3 linked regions of the Drosophila melanogaster genome follow. The protein of the gene in region 3 interacts with the protein of the main gene of each other region in a pairwise test. Each region holds a gene or a part of one and is shown on either strand. Other genes may lie near its edges. The genes, in order: Spx, CG13022 and CG8677.

Region 1 (4,202 bases), on a different chromosome or scaffold from region 3:
AAAACCAAACCAGTTCAGAATGTTTTTATGTTATTATTTTTTTTTATATATACATCTTTTTTAAGGTAAACAAAAAAGAAAGAAACAAATCGAAAACCAAAAGAAATTTAAATAAATGCGAGAAAATTGATGCGTAACGATTCGCTTGTACATCGTTATTGATTAAAACTATTACTATTACTATTACTATTACTATATGCCTCACAGTTTTTTTTTTGTTGTTGTTTGTCTTGCTTAACCAAAAAAAAAAAAAACAAAAGCAAAAGCAAAGAGACGAAGGAGAAAATAACGTTAAATATAACCATTTAAACGTAAAGCTAAAGTTAAGTTATTTTACCAAACGAAATGGAAGTTAGCACAGTGGGACTAAACCAAAATCGCTTAGGCAAGAATTCAATAGACGAAGAGTAAAAAATGAATAGTAGTCAAAACTATTGTAAATACTGTACTTGTATGTTTCCCATATTAATAAATTTATGCTAAACAAATTACAAGACCAAAAAACAAACGTGTTTCGAAAAAAAGCGGGACGGCATCATTTTGGGAATGCTAAAAAAGAATCCTAGTTTCATTTCAATAAATGGAAAATCATTCCTCAGTTTATTTTGAACTACAAGCTAGTTTCTATACATAACTTCAAAGGATTGGACATTAAATTAGAGGGAGCCCTTTAAAAATACTTAGTTAAATTACAAAAAAAAATTATCGCTTTCTTCGTATGTTCCATTCAAATTAAACTTACAGACTTGTTAATGTAAACGTTTTATGTTTATTGAAAATAGTTCCGTTTAAAAAAAAATCAAGAATCGAGAGTCAATTTATATCAAATCATTTCGTTCATTTCAAAATTCTATTCAAAGTTATTTAATTTCGTCTTGTAAGAATTCGAAGATTGTATTGCGACTACTAAATGGAAATACAATGATGATCTAAATGTCTCCCAGTGGTTTCCCGGTTGTTAAATGCATATTAGAAAGAAGAATGGAAATCTTAACATATCCCAGAGCAGGCTTCATTGATGAATCCTATTGATGTTTATTTCTCGTCTCGTCCAAATTGGTATACACTACACGCTAGACTTAGTACTGGTAGCCGTCGGGTTGATAGGGCCGTGCGTAGGGCGTGGGTGGGAAGGGCACGGGCGGCGGACGCCAGTTGGTGGGCGGTGGTCTGGGCGGAGGAGCAGGCATGCCGGGCGGTGCCCATGCATTTGGTTGCATCATGCGAGGCGGCGGCGGAATGCCCATTGCTGGCGGCAGCGGCGGCTGTCCGCCGGTCATCGGTGGCAACGGAGGCGGCGGTATCGTAGCTGGGAACGGTGCAGGCTGGGGAACGGGCGGCGGCGGTGCTAGCATGCCCATATTGTTATTCGAAACGGGCACCACCGGCGGCGGCGGCGCCATCATGGGTGGCGGCATCATCTGGCCCGGCATCTGGGCCGGGATCTGGCCCGGCATCTGGGGCATCATGGTTTGCACCGGTGCATCGGCGAACAATTGATGCGGCCGGTCTGCATGGGTCGATGGATTCTGGGCGGCCAACAGGCGCTCCGCAGCCGAACCGTGACGCTCGCCCTTGTGATCCTTCTTGAAGGCATAGGACACGGAAATGGGACGGTTGCACAGGTACTGGCCGTTCATGGCGTCCATGGCCGCATCGCTGGCCTCGAAGCTGGCAAAGTTGATGAACGCAAAGCTCTTAGACTTGCCCGTCTCTGGGTCTCGCATGATCTTCGGCGTCTGCAGTATAACGCCGAAGGCGGAGAACGTATCGTACAGCAGCTTCTCGTCCACTTCCACGTCTAGGTTGCCAATGAAGATGTTGGCGCCGACGTCCAGGTTCTTCTGATGCGCCGACGCCTTGTTCACGCGAATGGGCTTGCCGTAAAGCTTGATCATGTTCATGATCTTTATTCCATAGTCGGCGTCTTCCTCGCTGAGGAACTCGACGAATCCATAGCCCTGGTGCATTTGGGTGACACGATCCTTGGGCATGTGTACGTTCACTGCAAGCATGACGATTAGGGAGCTGCTAGGCACTATACATGTGTGTCCGGGACTTACCCACTGGTCCTGCCTGGACAAACAGCTCCCAAAGCAGCGTTTCCGACACCTTGTCGTCAAGACCGCCGGCATAGATGGTGGCATCTGTGGAAGGAACGGAAAAGGCGGGTTAAAGCGTCTCCCAAGTGGTGCAAATGTGGAGTGGAGGTCAAACCCACCTTGGTTGCGTTCAGCAATTGGACCTGCCGCCATTTCGGAGCTATTTTTATAAACAAAACCAAAAACTAATTTTCGGCGTTTTCAACATGCAAAAATGCTCGCAACACAACCCTGAATATCGAAACAGCCTATCGATACCATGAATCGATATATATTCCACGATTTCGTTTTTATTGGCAATCGAAATTGATATCGAAATCGAATCAAATCGAACGGATATTAGAAAAAATACTAAATATAGACGAAGCAGAATAATTAAATATAATTTCAATAGGTTAAAATATTCACCTCTATTTTTTGAAAATAAAATGAAATATTTTAATAATAATATTTTAATTAAATGATAAACAGTTTTTCGGTTAATTGGAGTAACCGTATTTAAATTACTCAGGCGATATTTCGCCTCCCATGCCGTGCCATCCCTAATATCGATAGTTCGATTGGCCGCGCTGGCCAAGAACCCAACTCTAATTTTTATGTAATGTCACTTTGTTGTCGTTTGTTACAAGAAGCAAGGAAAATTCGTGCTAGAAACCAAAGAACCAAGACCCCAATATCCGTGCGCTGTGATGTGATAATCAACTGTGTGTAAATTATGAATTGTCATCAGATTTTGAGCGGCGCTTGCAATGCAGGCGACCGGTGCTTCGCCATTGGCTCCGTGGAAGGAATACCATTTACAGTAAGCACAGAGCCATCCCAATCCGAATCCGGATCGAATTGGGTGAAAATCGGTGGCGGAATGTGCACCATTATCGGCCCAACCAGCCGGACACGCCCCCCAACCCCCCCACGCACACTTGGTTCAAAAGGTTGAACCGTTTCCAATTGGAAACGGGGCATCATCATCACCATCGTCGTCATTCCAACAAGAACCGATCGGAGCACGTCTTTAATGTTTTTATTTACATATTTGCGTGTGTGTGGTGTGCGTGTGTGCGGTGTGTGTGAATGTGTGTTGAATTTTATATCGTTTTTTTTTGCCACACTTGGTGGTCAATTAAAAAATCAAATGCAAATGATGAGATAGAGAACTTTTCGTGTTTGCTGGCTGGCGCTGTGCAAAAATTCGATAACAACAAAGTGTGCAGCTCGAGTGTGTGTGTGTGTATGTTGTGTGGCACAACAAATACAACACAATGTTTGTTTTCACCTGCATTTACATACCTGGCCAGCAATTAATTACATTTTTATTTTTTTAAGGTCAAGTGCTGGCAGTAAACAAGCCGCACGCACACACACACACACACATGCGCCAGTTGCAGTGAGAGTGTGTGCTTGAAAGTATATACGCATGTATATATATATAAGTGCGAGTATGTGTGTGTGTATACCCTTCGATTGGTCAGGTGGCCTTTGATGCCCTAATTTCGCAGCTTGCAGGCTGCCCACCTTCCCCTTCCCACGAACCCTTTCTCTATGGCAGCACCCCCCGCCCCGCAACCCCTTTCGCCAACCCACGTCAATGGCAAATTGGAATTATAAACGGCCATAATAAAAAAACGTGAGCACGCATTTATAATGTGCCTTATTCGATCCCTATACTATATACTACCAAATACTCTTAGCAATCTGGCCATTTTCGTGTCTAAAACCTTTAACGGTAACAGGAAAAAGTTGAAGAGCTCACTATAAACTTCGCTATGTCAACTTCGAGTTTATAAACATTACACCCATTGAGACATGTGTACTATATGTTTACTCAGAATGTTTATCCGATGTAGAGAACAAGGTCTGTGTTTTCCTGCAAAAACCCAAGGAAGCATAATTAACTACTGTGCACATTTTGCCATTCTAATGAGAGGCCCCACGGGGCGTATGTGTACATTATATATATATTCTATATTCTACTATATTCTATTCTGTAATCAGCACCGCCGTTGACACAGTCCCCCGTTCACAGACCGACCACCAACCACCCAACACCCACCCACTGCCCACCGCCTTGCGCCATATCATTTGCCATCATTTCAATTTGTT
Region 2 (2,949 bases), on a different chromosome or scaffold from region 3:
TAACATGCATAAATCGCCGCAGTTGTATCGTGCCAAAGCACGCGCCACAAGCAATTAAAGCTCTTACAATCATTTACGATCAGAAACTGACAATGTTTACCCTTATCTACTTTATGCAAACATTTTTATTGTAAAACGTTTAAAAATTATGTCCAGGCAAGAAAATTTTCTATTAATGCGATGACCGCTTTTATGGAACTCAAGTTATGTTTCTTTTTAAAATGAAGAAAAATATTCTTTCTACCGTCCTATTTAGCATAATATTATATTCCAAGATTTACAATTACAAAAAGAATTCATACATTTTTGGACATCTATTTTTACGTACATTTTTTTTTTAATTTCACCATTATTTATAAATGTTAATATAATGTCTTCCGATCCAAAGATAATTTTGTGCCGCGTAGAAGTTATGAAATCCAGAGCTCTCGATAATATTTGACTATTGCTTGCATTCTATAACCAAGCAAAGCTGCACTCTTTTCTTTGAATGAACTCTGTTTTACAAGTCATTCATTCTTTGACATATGTTTACAGTTCAGATCCCCGATCACGTAGGTCTCAAACACGACAGGTGACACTGTCAGATCTCCAAAGACTTCCAGTAAATAACGCAAAACACCCAAGTAGAACGAGCAATAGTTTTGGCTAATATATTTTATTTACGTGTAGCCACGATATTTATGCAACTCTTGCAGGCTAGTCAAGGCATTTGTTTGGATTCCGTTTCCGATTTCGATTTCCGAGTGCGGTTCAGCGGCGGTGGTGGCCTTGGCCAAATTGCCACCCATGACCACGAATCCGATGCCGGCGCCCGCCTTGTAGCTCAGCTCATGGTAGCCAGCCTCATCGTAGTAGGAGTACTTGCCCAAAACATTTCCCGCCTCATCGGTGTGCTGGGCATGCGACATCTGGTCGGTGCTGAAATCAAAGTTTTGCTGGCTTTGCCGGTGCTTCAGGTGGTTGGTCGATGCTAATTGGTAGCCCGCACTCAGCGAAGATGTTGCCACTGCTAGGTTATCCTGTGTATTGTAGGAAATCCGGGAAAGTGGATTCTGTCTTGTCCTCAGAGATTGATGCACAAAGTTCAGCGGACCAAAGGAATCCAGAGAAGATGCCCCAAAACTAGGCTTAACGACACTCCTATCCAATCTATCGCCATCCGTGTTGTAGGAGTATCCTTGTCCATTGAACTGCATATACACTTGCGCTCCTTGAGCACAGGAAACTATCAGCGAAGCAATGAAAAGCACCAACATCATGTTCAAGTCTCAGAAACAACTAAACTCCGAGCATGCTAAGTCATGGGGTTATATGTGGATTCAAGGAAACCGCAATGTGCAGATTAACCTGCTTATACCCGGATCCACGGATATCAAATAACTATTCGCTAGAGATACAGATACAGTTTGAGATACAGATACAGGCAAAAAATGTATTCCGCTTTAAATACTGTTTTAGTTTCCATGTGGAGTCAACCCAGTTTCGGTTACTCAACACTGATCACTTAGAGCTACGCACTACAAACTACAGATCTACAGATCCAATGGGTGCTTAGTGCTCCCTTGAGGCATTCAGCTCGGCGATCTCATCCTGACGCAGTGCCTCCGACGGCGAAAGTCCGATCCTTCCGCCCAAGGGTATTATGTCGATGTTCTGGACATGGGCACGCACACTTTGACCAGGCGGCAGGCCCACGTACCATTTACCCACGTTCTTGATGACGGTGGAGTCGCGGTGTCGCTGCACCCACTCCCGATCCCTGTCGATCTCTAGAATTCGGTGGTTGGCGGTGACCAGAGGAGGCAGTGAACTGCCCACATCGTCATCGTTGAGGTGGTAATTGTCCCCGGGTCCGCTCATGGCACTGGTGCCCGATCCACCTGTGGGCGGCAGGTAGCCCAGGCCGGAGTCGCCTTCCCTGGAGGCTCCAGCTCCACCTCCTCGACGACTGCTTCCACCACCGGCAGCACCTCCCCTTCCTGCTCCCCGCTCAGAGGAGACACTTACTCCACCAACGCCGCCGAATCGGTTTCTGTTTCGGGACCCACTAACATTGTTTCTCGTGGAGCTACCTGAACCACCTCTCTGAGAGCTGTCACCTCCGGCATCGTATCTAGTACTGCCCCGTTGCGGACTACCCGCAGGGAACCCTCTTCTGTCTTCTTTGCCATTAAAGTTGGTGGAACCAGAGGAGCTGCTGCCAAGCCCAATGTCATCCCCTTGGTCATCAGCATGGTGTCCCAGATTTTCATCAGCTGCCCCAGCATCACCATCTCCACGATTCCTATCTCTTGCTCCATCAGCCGGCTTTAGGTAATCTTTGCCTCCGGGTCTGCTTGGAGTACGGCCCCTTCCCGCTCCACCTGCACCACCACTTGGCCCCGAAGCTCCTACCGAAACACTTCCCCCACCTGATCCACCACCACCTCCCTTCGGACCTAAGCCACCACCAGCACCCCTGCCAAAATCATTAGCCAGTCGGAAATCTGGATCTGTCAAACGAAAATCAGCCACAGAGGGATTGTTATGGGTTCCAGGACCAATCCGATTTTGCACCACCCGGTAGCCAATTCCTGCTCCAGCTATATACTCCACTGTCCGCTGCACGCCCTTGTCGTCCAGGAAGGAGTAGGTTCCTCGCACCAGGCCATCGGGTGCTCGACTTTCTGCCCGTCGGTGATCCGAACCTGAGGCGATCAGCTTATAGCTTCCAGCCGGCCCCCTTTGCACAGACATCTTGCCGCGTGCTTTGGGATGGGACGTGTACAGAGGACTGGAGTACGCCACAACAGATGGGCTGTCCGGCACAGCGTTGGAGATCTCGAATCCGGTTCCGGCTCCAGCTGCATAACGAACACTGTGCCGCTCGCCCACGTCGTCCAAATAGGAGTACAGACCTGGGATAGAATCAGTTAATATACTCTTAAGTACCATACTCGCTAAACT
Region 3 (5,085 bases):
GCGCTCGTTGCCGTTTCCTGTTCTGATTTCATTTTGGAATCATGTTGGTTAGGTACAGGGCTTTCTGTTTCACACGAAAGTTTCTCATCACATGCAGTGTCCAAGGCATTTGTCGAAATTTGCTGATGATTTATTACCAGTTTATCCTCAACTGTACCGCTTTCCAGGACGCATTTTTCTGTTACTGGTTTCTTTGTATTGTTCAGATCAGCTGGAACTTTATGCTGATCCTGAGTCTGAATAGAGGAGTTATCACTTTCATTTGAATTATTTTGTAAGACTGAAACTTCTGTCCTATTCCTCACTCCTTCTTCAATTGCCTCACTTTCGGTACGACCTTTAGAGATTTCCTCATTCTTTTCGATCACGCTTATTGTACTATCCTGTATATTCCTTTTAGCCACTGGTACGGATTCCTTTTTTTTTATTTGATCATCTGAGATTTTATTTACGTTAGCTTCTTGGCATATGTTAGTCTCTTCTAATGTAGCTGCACTCGCAGATGCTGTTTCTTCACTATCTCCCAGAGTTTTTGTGAGTTCGCTTCCATTTCGGGGCGGTGTGTTCACTATACACTTTTCGCTTTCACCATTTGTTTTCTCCTCGCTCAAGCTGTCAAAAATGCCCCGTTTTGCCTCTGGTTTTGATGTTTGCTTCATGGGACTTAGCTTGAGACATCCGGGCTCGCCAAAAAAGAACGTCGCTTTTGGTTCCGATGTGCGCGTTGACGTTTCCTCCACGGAAGCTTCGTTTTTACCATTCCCCACGAGACAGTCGGTCCCCCACCCTTGACCAATCACATGGAGCATTGGATCTGCAATGGCTTCCCCGATCTCCAAGTCATCCTCATAATCAAAGTTGCCAATTAAATTATAAGGGATGGCTTCACAGTCAAGTCCTGATCCTTGGCCCTGCACCACTATCGTTGGATCCTCTATAGGCTCTCCAGTATCTTCCTCATCGTCATCTTCCTCGATATCCGCCGCCGCACTATCGACATCTTCCTCTTCCTCACCCTCATCCAATTCAGAATCCTCCTCGTCCTCTTCTTCCTCATCCTCTTCTCCGGACTCTTCTTCGATTTCATCCTTAGTGCTTTCGTAGCGACTTGGCTTTTTGATTCGCTTTGTATCAAGCAGTGTGGGACGGTGCTTCTTCTGCTGTTCCTCCTGGGAGGCTGTGGGGCTGCTGTCTACGTCTTCGATAGAACGTTTTTTGGTTGGGGCCGGCGATGCGCTACTCGAAAGTTTGGCCTGGCTAATGAGCAGTGGCTGAAAGACCGAGAATGAAATCTTATCTAAAAATGCAAAGCTCCTTGGTTAAATCCATACACACCTTAACCTTTTTAGACTTTTGATCCTCTTGCTCGGGAGAGCGGAGTTTAATCTTTAGATTGGGTACAGTTTTTTCGGGCTCATCTCCAACTTCCTCATCGTCCTCTTCTTCTTTCTGTTCGGGGGGCGGTGGTTTGGGATGACAACTGTTGCTGCTGCTGGTGTCCTCATCGGCCTCACCAATGTCCTTCGAAGGAAGTACCACCTCATTTCCGCGCAGCCTTGAAATGAGATTTACAAACTCGTCCCTGTTCGTGGCAACCACCTGCCAAATTTCCTCGTCTAGATGCTCCTGGTAGATCCGCAGATTACAGTGGGCATCCTGAGTCAGCCAGTAGGCATGTCCCAACCGGTCCCTTCCAATTGGCTCAGAGCGTAAAGTATCGGCATTCAAGGTGAGGATGTGGGCCCGAAACTTGGCATTGCGTTCAAACTGACTTTCGAGAAGTTCCTGTACGGGAAAGACGCCCTTTAGAACGGTTTATCAAGTGGTACGAAATTCGTTACTCACCCGAAATATTCGCAGCTTAACCTTCAAGCTGGAATTCCTATAACCGAAACGTTCGATTTCCCAGGCATCTTGCACCGAGTAGCCGAAGCAGAATTTGCTGAGGGCGGACTCCCAACTCTTTTCGTGAACCGTCTTACGGGTCTTACGGAGCAGCTTTATGTGCAAGTCCCTTAGCTCAGGAACTACAAAGATTCGTTATAATTAAATATTAGTAAAAGTTCTGCGAAAAGGAAGAAAGTGACAGCGGAATATAAATGGATTGTGGGTGGATTATGAGGGCAAGTGAAATAAATGCAACCGCGTTTGTTGTAGTGTACACTTTTTGTGTCTGCTGTTGCTCACGCAAATACATACAAAACGTAGAAACTTAGCATGATTATAACTTTTTTAAACAAATATATTTTCAGGTTCCCTCCCACTCGTGACCCTAAATATTTAATATATTTCCAGATGCAGGTGTACATTAAAAAAAAAAAACCAACTTTTAGTGTTCAATTGTAGCTCTCTTACTATCTCTCAAATAAGAAGACCAGAGCAAATGTGGGAAATATTTACGTCTCTCCCAGATTTGTTTTGTATATTGCGCTTGTGTTGAGATGAAAACAAATCGCAGTGCTCTCTCTGCCATTGAGCAATCTCTTTCTCTCTGACGAGCCAAGCACGCTCTCCAGAGCGGAGCATTGTTAAATCTCTGGAGCAGACCTATTCGAAAACACTACATCCGTAGTTTCCACCGCCACTTGCCCCACGATAATTGAACCTGACATAAATTAATTTGGCAAAAAACTGCTTCCACCCCGCTCTCTTGATACCACCACCCCACCCTCTCACCATCGTTGTTGTTTGTCAACCACTCCTGCAGATGCTTGAAGTTGGGCAGGTTAAGACCCAGGTCCTTGCCGAATTTTTGCAGGAAGGCGCAAATGACCGCAAAGTCCGGATCATTGGCGCATGTGTGCAGCGTGGAGGTGAGGGCGTCGTCGTCCTTGCACTCCTCCGATATGGAGTCCGTCGGAAGCGGGATCGGATTGGTGGGCGCCGCAGCCGCAGCTGAGGACGCCGCCATTTTTCATGCGTCCCCGAGAACCAGCGAAAATTTTCGGGTGTTGTATACTACTCTGGCAAAACCTCAAAACGGGCACTGCAAACACGAGTCATTTGTCCAAGGATCAAGTTCTCTGGTCGCACGGCACTGCGAGACTTCGAGGGTGCATATTTCTTGCCGCGAGACAGCTCTTGTACGGGATAAAATCCTATTTTAAAGCAAGCGAAAATGCTTTATTTTCTGTTGTGAGTTTCAGTGTGGCCGCGCAGTCACTTTTCGACAATACTGCAGATTGCACCCATGTAATTGAAGCGAGTTGGCAGTCGATGCACTGGGGAACTAGTTTCTAGTATACTTGGCGTATGCATGAAAACGATTTTTACAAACTACGAATACATTTATAACTTACTCAGATTCGCGTTAAGACAGTTTTATTTTTAAGTTAGCGCTAGACTATGAAATGTGTATTAAATGTTACAAATCTAAAAATTGTTTTACTATTAAATAGGCTATGCAAAATTTATTAAATCGACGAACAATATAGGTTATAATATAAATTAGGAACAAAAGGTATAAAGTTTTAGTGTAGATCAAGTTGAAGTAGGGAAATACATTATGGGAAATACAATTTTGCTAAGACAGAAGAACCTTATAAGAAGCTTAACACGTCCACTGTTTTGTTCCGATTTGATAGAAAATTTGACACAACACTTAGATAATTGTAGATACTTATTGGAAAAAACTATTTTAATGTTTATATAAAAAGAAATGAAACTGACATATACACACTAAATGCACTGTAATTGTGTGAAATATGAGGTAATTTTATGATTTTTCCAATGCAAATATATGCGGATACATGTATATATATTGTCCATTTCAATTTTTAATAACAATTTTACATTTTCCGTTACACAAATGATTTAACGGTATATATGGCATTTGGTGAACACGGCTGGTTCAGTTCCCGAACCCAGTTCCAATGATGATGATTTATGTGTGTGTGTGTTGTGTGTAGGGGGAATTTGTTGATAGATAGAACGAGAAAAACAGTCGCAGCAAAACAACAAAGACGACGCAAAACAGTCGAATTTAGTTTTCAATATCAAGTGAAATCATTTCGCTTTGCTCATCTGCCATCGTCGATCAATATCTTGTGTACTCAAACGACGGGACTCTGCAACTGAATATCGCTGAAAAAAAGCATCTAAAGACCAGTGAAAGTGTAACTATATAAAAAAAATACAATCACCAAAGCACAAATCTTCAGCAGCAATGACCACATATCAAATGAACTTCAACCAGGACTTTACGTAAGTAGCGACATCTGTGCTTAAATCCTTAAATCCCGGAAGGTCACCAAAGCGAAAAGTGGCAAACAATTGAGACACAAAAATCGACAAATGAGACGGGTAAATAAGGCGAAAACAGCTGCTGTGGGGAAGGTGGACGGGGATCGTTAGTGTGTCTGTGGGTAAGCGTGAATTGGCGTCATTTTTCGTGTCGTGTGTGTGTGTAGTTTATTAGAACATGCAAACAAGCAGTTCCAATTACAATAGCATGCATTCATCTAACATTTTGGAATGCCTTTCCCGTTTCGGGAGGGGGCTGGGAACCGAACTCGGTACACTGTCAGTGGCCAACAAGCGACCGATTTAGCAGTATTTCCATTCTGATGGCCACTGTGCGGGACACCAACACTCGCACAATTGGCGCACAATCAATTGTTTATGCGCAACAGCTGATGACTAAGGAACAAATGAAAGTGCGGAGCGATAAGGATGAAATAAAATGACAAGAAACAAAGGGGGTCAATCTGGCGGGAGCGCACTGTAGCTATCAACGCAGCCTTAATCTCGAGCTTAATTAACCAGTTTCGCTATTGCACGGTACGTTGATGTCATCCAAGAACAGGGTGAGGGAAGAAGTGCGAGCAAGCCTTAGAAAGAAACGCAAACATCAATATGACTATTTGTGGTGAAAATCGAATCGAAAAGAATATAATCTGAAAAATTTGTCATAGCTCAAACAAAGCAAAAGAGAGATTTCCAATCAGTAACAAATCAAGCACGGGTGAATGTACGCGAAAACGCAAGTCAAACAATTGGCTATTATCTTTTGGGGGTTTTCCTACGATACTCTGTAGTTTTAAAAAAAAAAACTCAAGTCTCAAGTCTATCAGCAATGTACAAATT

What was found.
Region 1: the proteins of CG8677 (region 3) and Spx interact in a two-hybrid assay, tested with the Drosophila melanogaster proteins (one large-scale study listed by BioGRID).
Region 2: the proteins of CG8677 (region 3) and CG13022 interact in a two-hybrid assay, tested with the Drosophila melanogaster proteins (one large-scale study listed by BioGRID).

Annotation. Positions count from the first base shown.
Region 1 is NC_004354.4:6,253,964-6,258,165, reverse strand, and holds Spx (spliceosomal protein on the X), read right to left. Parts: upstream 2,345-4,202; 5' UTR 2,256-2,344; coding exon 2,222-2,255; intron 2,148-2,221; coding exon 2,064-2,147; intron 2,006-2,063; coding exon 1,080-2,005; 3' UTR 570-1,079; downstream 1-569. Other genes in the region: Rbcn-3A (Rabconnectin-3A), read left to right, coding at 2,818-2,904.
Region 2 is NT_037436.4:16,937,684-16,940,632, forward strand, and holds CG13022 (uncharacterized protein), read right to left. Parts: upstream 1,270-2,949; 5' UTR 1,260-1,269; coding exon 663-1,259; 3' UTR 647-662; downstream 1-646. Other genes in the region: Cpr73D (cuticular protein 73D), read right to left, coding at 1,555-2,900.
Region 3 is NT_033779.5:21,219,378-21,224,462, reverse strand, and holds the start of CG8677 (uncharacterized protein), read right to left. Parts: upstream 3,152-5,085; 5' UTR 2,912-3,151; coding exon 2,677-2,911; intron 2,028-2,676; coding exon 1,846-2,027; intron 1,786-1,845; coding exon 1,336-1,785; intron 1,272-1,335; coding exon 1-1,271. Other genes in the region: Atg18b (Autophagy-related 18b), read left to right, coding at 4,166-4,203.